Callithrix jacchus: one gene and its partner. The protein of the gene in region 2 purifies or fractionates together with the protein of the main gene of each other region. This does not show direct contact. Links are inferred from orthologs where the notes say so. Each region holds a gene or a part of one and is shown on either strand. Other genes may lie near its edges.

Evidence for each region.
Region 1: the proteins of SWSAP1 (region 2) and SPIDR purify together in Homo sapiens (co-immunoprecipitation; 3 studies listed by BioGRID and IntAct, with this or other methods). This does not show direct contact. The link is inferred for Callithrix jacchus from reciprocal best matches to the Homo sapiens genes SWSAP1 and SPIDR.

The regions. Positions count from the first base shown.
Region 1 is NC_133517.1:7,384,399-7,388,221, forward strand, and holds part of SPIDR (DNA repair-scaffolding protein), read right to left. Parts: intron 2,395-3,823; coding exon 2,215-2,394; intron 1-2,214. UniProt on the Homo sapiens protein: Plays a role in DNA double-strand break (DBS) repair via homologous recombination (HR).
Region 2 is NC_133523.1:10,522,087-10,525,456, forward strand, and holds SWSAP1 (ATPase SWSAP1), read left to right. Parts: upstream 1-1,462; 5' UTR 1,463-1,476; coding exon 1,477-1,725; intron 1,726-2,230; coding exon 2,231-2,734; 3' UTR 2,735-2,847; downstream 2,848-3,370. UniProt on the Homo sapiens protein: ATPase which is preferentially stimulated by single-stranded DNA and is involved in homologous recombination repair (HRR). Has a DNA-binding activity which is independent of its ATPase activity.

The DNA of each region.
Region 1 (3,823 bases), on a different chromosome or scaffold from region 2:
CTCCAAAAAAAAAAAGGAAGGGAAAGTATTTTTAAGAGAAAAATATTTTAAAATTTTAAGTCAGGATTCCTCCCTCTCAAGCCCAATTCCAGGCCTTAAGGTCCAGAGACCAATCCAGCAGGACTGCAAAAAGGTCTAGGAATATCGTTTTACTTTTTTTAAATTTCCATTTTAATTTCTGTTAATCTTTTACATAATTCTAAATATCTTACACATTTTGTATTTTAGATCTAACATTTTATATTTGTTATATTAATGTAAATAATATTTTTTAAAACTGTCCTATAATTTGTTACTCATATAAAATTAAAATGGATGTTTATATATTGAGCTTGTATTCAGCATTAGGAATATTGTTTTTAAAGCTCACAAGGTAATTCTGATACCTGGACGCCAGCTTTGGTGACCACCACAATAGTGCTGAGGCATACGGCATCCAGGTTAGACAAACCTGGTTCTGGTTACCAGCTGGCACACTTATTAACTATGTGACTCTGGGCAAGTGACTTGTAAGTCCCATATTTCTTCTCTAAAATGAGGATACTACTTAGCACACAAGATACAGCAGACATCAAAGGAAATAAGCACATCTGACACCCAGTCAAATGTCTGAGTCAAACAAAAACTTAACCAGTAAATGTAAAAAGGAAGGAAGAAGTGGGGACAGGAAGGACACGAGCAGAGGATGGGGAGTTGGGGAAGAGAAAGATAAACCAGAAGCTGTAAACAGAATTACACAAACCCCAAGGGATCACCTACTTGTCACTTAGTGCTCAACTTTTTAAGATAAGTCAACAATTTTAAAGTACTATAAACTCATTCTTAAGTAATTAGCACAAAGCATCTTTCCACTGTTAAGAGTTTTAGAAAGTACTGAATGTCCCTATTCATAGAAGATAAACTTTTTAAAAAAAAACCAGCTTTATTGAGATATAATTTGCAAACCATAGTATTACCCACAAAAAGCACAAAGTTGTACTACTGAAATTGTATTCTGAAATGTATGAAGACAAACCAAGGGTTACGTAACAATAAATTTCATTTAATGTGTCTGAATTAATAATACAGGTGCTATCAGCTTATACATAATCTTAAAACACCACTTCACCTGATAACTACTAAAATGTCAAGGGTATTGAATTACTAAAATGAGATACAAAGTGGTCAAAAGAATTTAACTACCCCCCCCAGAAGCTGTCTGTACAAACCTATCATGAACTGTCAGAGTTAAAAGTCGCAAGCTTATTTTGAAAACATTAAGATCTTTAAATACTCTAGATGATTTGTATATTGTAAAATTTCTAAAAAGACATGATTTCCATAATTCTACATCTGTGGTTATCAACTAGGGGTGATTTTTGTACTTCAGGAGACCCTTGACAACATCTGGAGACATCTTTGTTTATCATCCCTATGGCTGGGATGCTGCCATGACCCAGAAGGTAGGGGCCAGGGACACAGAATATCCTACAAGGCATAGGAAGGTGCTTCTCCCCATAGCAAAGAATCAACTGACCCAAAATGTCAAGAGTGTCAAGGATGAGAAACTTTGCTTTAAATTATCTACACATGACACAATATAAAACACCATCTAAATAGAAATTTGTCAGTCTGTTACACCTCTATCACACATTGGTTGTCACAGTATTTACTCAACAATAACAGGCTGGCAAGAAGGCAGTATGGGTGCAGCACTGTGTAGAAGTTGAAGGAACTGGCTATGGAGCAAAAGAGACCTAAAATGGAATCCCAATCCATTCTTGTAAGTCCAAGCTTAAGCTGTTAACTATAAAAATAATACCTATCTCTTACAGTTACTGTGAGAAATATCAAGTCAGAAAATGTTTCTGAAGTGTTTAGCACAGAGGGTGGGACTCAGTAAAATCCTATTAGAAAGGAATTTAATTTTCATTCTCTGGGACAAATGTCTAAGGGTACACTTACTGGGTTACATGGTAACTGCATAGTTAGTCTTTAAGAAACCGCCAGACTGTTTTCCAGAGTGGCTGTACCATTTTACTGTGTACCTGCAATGTATTGGTGATCCTATCTCTCCATAACTTCATCAGCATTTGGTATTGTCACTATATTTTATTGTAGCCATTCTGATAGGTGGAATGTTAATGATAAATACTAGAAAGGAATGTAAGTTTCTCCCAATATTAAATCCAATATTTAACAGAAACTGGATTTCTAACAAAATTATCAATTTACCTTCACTGGCCCCATCTTCTGGACACAAAATGCTCCTCTTACAAAATCTGTTTATTCTAGAGCCATGTCCATTATCTCTCTGTAGTTTAGAAGGTGTCTTATCTTCATCTGACAAATCACTTCCACTGGAACTCCATGTAATGTCTGTAAGCTCATTGGTGCTCTTAGATGTGCTGGTTTCTGTTGAAGAAAAAGAAAGCACATAAACATGATCCCCTTATATGGCTATTTATCAGAATACAATTTTATGCATGTAATTTTGCCAAAGTCACAAATACACAAAACTCTGTGATAGGAAAAGGAATGTCTACATCAAATCTTCCTGCCTAAAGTGCTATGTACAATCTCACTAACATTCTCTGAGTTGAAGCTAAGTTCCAAGAAGAAAAAGAAGTAGAACTGGTTAAGTTATATAAAAAAAGGAAAATGACTGGAGCACAAAAGAAAACTGGAAAAGTAAGACTTGAAATAACATTTATAAAAGTATAACTTCCTTGGATATTTGATGAAACAAAAAAATCTTTTTAAATGCAAAACACAAAGTCAAACTTATGAATAAAAGGAATGCTTCTGTGTGCTTCCTTTGCCATGTTAAGAGCTCTGGGAGCAGGGTGCATAGAACACTTGACAGCTAACCTTGTATTTAATTAAACTTTTTATTTTAAGATAATAGTAGATTCACATACAACTATATGTAAGAAATAACAGAGAAAATACTTGTGTCCCTCACCCAGTCCCTCCAATGGTAACATCTTGCAAAACTGTAGTAGAACACAACCAGGATACTGACATTGATCTGGTCAAGCTACAGATCAATTCTATCACCACAGGATGCCCTGCATTACCTTTTTATTGCCATATCACCTCCTGGCCCCATATCAATCCCTAAACTCTGTCAACCACTACTCAGTTTTGCATTTCTGTAATTTTTTTCATTTTAAGAATGTTAGATGATCGAGACCTGCCTGGCCAACATGGTGAAACCCTGTCTCAACTAAAAATACAAAAAATTAGCTGGGCACGGTTGCAGCATCTGTAATCCCAGCTACTCGGGAGGCTGGAGCAAGAGAATCGCTTGTACCCAGGAGGTAGAGGTTACAGTAAGCCAAGATCAAGCCACTGAACTCCAGCCTGGGCAACAAGAGTGAAACTCAGTCTCAAAGAACAAAAAAATGTTACATAAATGAAATCACTATGTAACCTTTTAGGATTGGCTTTTTTTCACTCAGCATAATTTCCTAGATAGTCATCTCAGTTGTGTATATCAACACTTATCTTCTTTTTATTACTGAATAGTATACATGGTACTATGCACCATAGTTTGTTTCATCATTCCCTTACTGAAGGACATCTGTGTTGTTTCTAGTCTGGGGCTATTATGAACAAAGCTGCTTATGAACATCTGTATACAGGATTTTATGTGAATTTAATTTCCATTCTCTGGGACAAATGCCTAAGGGTACAGTTGTTGAGTTATATGGTAATTGCATGTTTAGTCTTTAAGAAACGGCCAGACTGTTTTCCAGAGTGGCTGTACCATTTTCTGTATACCTGCAATGTACTGGTGATCCAGTTTCTCCACAACCTTACCAGTATTTGGTGTTGTTAC
Region 2 (3,370 bases):
AGCAATCCTCCTGCCTTGGCCTTCCAAAGCATTGGGATAACAGACATGAGCCACCATACCCGGCCTGTTTGTGCATTTGGAGTGTTGCAATGTGAGGTGATTCATGGGTTGTATATCTGCGGGCTGAGGTGGTGTGTTTGACAGTGCACTGTGTGCCTCAGTGTGTGTGTGTGTGTGTGTGTACTGGCAATGACATAGTGTGTGAGCAGGAGAAAGGGTGTGGGGAATGAATGTGTGATAGTTTGTATGGGATGCTTTGTGTCAGGATAGGGCAAGGTTGGAGCATGTGGGTGATGGGGATCCTGAAAGTAGAATATATTCAGAGATGCCATGGTGTGTGTGTGTGTGTGTGTGTGTAGAGGGGTGTGAGGGTGCCCAGCTGTGTGAGTGGGCGTGTTGGGGGATGTCATGGAGCTGTTTTCTGGTCCCAGAGGGAGAGAGAAAGCCCAGGAAATCTCACTTTCTCCCTGCCCCTGGGTCTCCAGGCAACAGCACCACTTTGAAGTTACCAGGAGACAAGGTTGCCAGGGCAACACAGGCGTGAGTGGCAGCTCTGGGGCAAAGTCTGGGTGAGAAGATCCAGCAGCGAGGGATCACGATCATTCACTTTGTTCCTCCCTTTCTCCCTGTTTCTCATCAATCCCACCTCCCTTCCTTCATTGATTTAACGACTATGTATTTGAGAACCTACAAATGTGCTAGGTGCTATTCTGGGTACTGGAGAGACAGAAGTGAACAAGACCAACAGTGTCCCTGCTGTATCTCTCCCTCAGTCTTCCAGCTCCTCTGTCTCTCACGCCCTCTTCCTTGGCCTGCGGTCCTGCCTTTCCTCCATACCACAAGGAAGGCCCCACTAAACCCCTTAGCCAGGGAGGAAGTAAGTTGAGAGTCCTCATTTCATTGACTTTCAGGGATGGCTGCTGATGTTTTGCACACGAGTGTCCCTGAGCCCGTGTCCCCAGACACACACTCCTGCCCATACTCAGGTGCACAGAAAGACAAGCACACAGCTCATTCCCCTCTCCAATTCTCAGCTGTCACTGGATGGCATCAGCAAAACCACACACAGATACATGCCAAGCACAATATTCCTCTGAGATATCCTAAGCCCCATTTTACAGGAGGGCAAACTGAGGCTACGAGACTTGAAATAATATATCAATCATTACGGTCTACTCCTCCAACTCTCAACCCTTATATTTGTCTGATTAGCTGACAATAATAGTGTTCGTGCTGCTTTTCCCAGCAGCCTCCCGCAGGGAAGGGTCATATTTCCCTCGAAAGCACCCATTGCTCAGCACTAGGTTCTAACCATTTGCCCATTCACCCGGGGCGGAGCTAGCCAAGGTCAATCGAGTTTTGATGGACAGACTCCTAAACCAATAGAGAAACGAAGTGAAGTATAACCGATGCGGCCTCAGCTTGGGCGGGACTAAGGCTGGGAACGCGCCACCAATTGGACAGAGTACACGGCGAATGGCGGAGACGCTGAAGCGGGTGCTAAGTAGGGGAGGCGCGGCCTGGTCCAGGGAGGAGAACACGCCTGCCGCCGGACCGCCTTTGCTGCTGCTCGGCGCACCAGGATCTGGAAAAACAACAATGCTATTTGCTGCGGCCCTAGAGGCGGCCGGGGAGGGCCAAGGCCCAGTCCTCTTCCTGACACGAAGACCTCTTCAAAGCCTACCTCGCGGGACCGGAACGGCTCTGGACCCAATGCGACTCCAAGTAACCGTGGGGGTGGGAGCAGAGGCGTTCTAGCCAATGGTGGAGTCGATCCGGGGCGTTTAGTGACAGGTGGACAAGCCAATGGAGGGGACGGTGGAAAGGCAAGCCAGGGCAGCCATGGTGGGGCGGAGTCAGGCATGCGTAAGGGAGGTGGGACCTTGGGGAGCTTAAGATTGAGGGGCGGAGCTAAGCCTGGGTCCATTCTGTACCAGAGTTGGTTCCTGTTGGGGTCAATGATGGGCTCGGACCGAGCATACTGGGAGGCGGTTTTCCGTGGAAAAACTGCCCTAGAGATTTGGCCAAAAACAAGCAAAATTGGCTTTCCCTCAACTAATACTCGGCAGTGATGAATGCTGGAAAAAGGGGCGAATACAAGAATGTTGAACCGCTCTGAACTGGTTCATCCTGGAGGCAAGGAAAAGCATGTAAGGAGGCAGGGTTACTCTTGCGGGGAGTCTGGCTTCCTGTGCTGAACCTGGCCCTTTCCTTCTGTTTCTTCTTCTAGAAGATCCGCTTCCAGTACCCACCCTCAACCCGAGAGCTTTTCTGGCTCCTGTGCTCTGCCCATGAGGCCCCGGGGCCAGCCCCCTCCCTTCTGCTGCTAGATGGCCTAGAAGAGTACCTAGCAGAAGACCCGGAGCCCCAGAAAGCCGCCTACCTCACTGCCTTACTTCTAGACACAGCTGCCCACTTCAGCCACCGGCTTGGGCTTGGCCGGGACTGTGGGCTCATGGTGGCCCTCCAGACCCAGGAGGAGGCAGATAGTGGGGACATCCTGCACCTGGCACTGCTCCAGAGGTATTTTCCTGCCCAGTGCTGGTTGCAGCCAGATGCACCAGGTCCAGGAGAGCATGGCCTCCGAGCCTGCCTGGAGCCAGGGGGACTGGGCCCCAGAACAGAGTGGTGGGTGACTTTCCGATCAGATGGAGAAATGATGATCGCTCCGTGGCCCACCCAGGCTGGTGACCCCAGCTCAGGCAAGCGTTCAAGCTCTGCAGGCCAGCCCTGAGCTTTGGTGGGTGACCACGTTTCTATGCTTCAGTTTCCCATGGTCATGTGCAGATCCAAAGACCTAAAGAATGTAAAATGCTTTTTCTCTTTTAAAAATATAGCATTATCTTTTATGTATTGCACCCAATCAATATATTGTTTGGTTTTGTTACTTTAAACTTTATAAAAAGAGTTTCAGGCCGGGTACGGTGGCTCATGCCTGTAATCCCAGCACTTTGGGAGGCCGAGGTGGGCAGATTATCTGAGGTCAAGAGCTCAAGACCAGCCTGGCCAACATGGCAAAACCCATCTCTACTAAAAATACAAAAAAATTAGCCAGGTGCATTGGTGCGCGCCTGTAGTCCCAGCTACTCGGGAGGCTGAGGCAGGAGAATTGCTTCAACCTGGGAGCTAGAGGTTGCAGTGAGCCAAGATCATGCCACTGCACTCCAGCCTGGGCGACAAAGGGCGACTGTCTAAAAATAAATCAGCCAGGTGCCAGGCACAATGTCTCACACCTGTAATCCCAGCACTATGGGAGGCCATGGCAAGCGGATCACCTGAGGTCAGGAGTTTTGAGACCAGCGTGGCCGACATGATGAACCCCTGTCTCTACTAAAAATACAAAAATTAGCCATACATGGTGGCAGCTGCC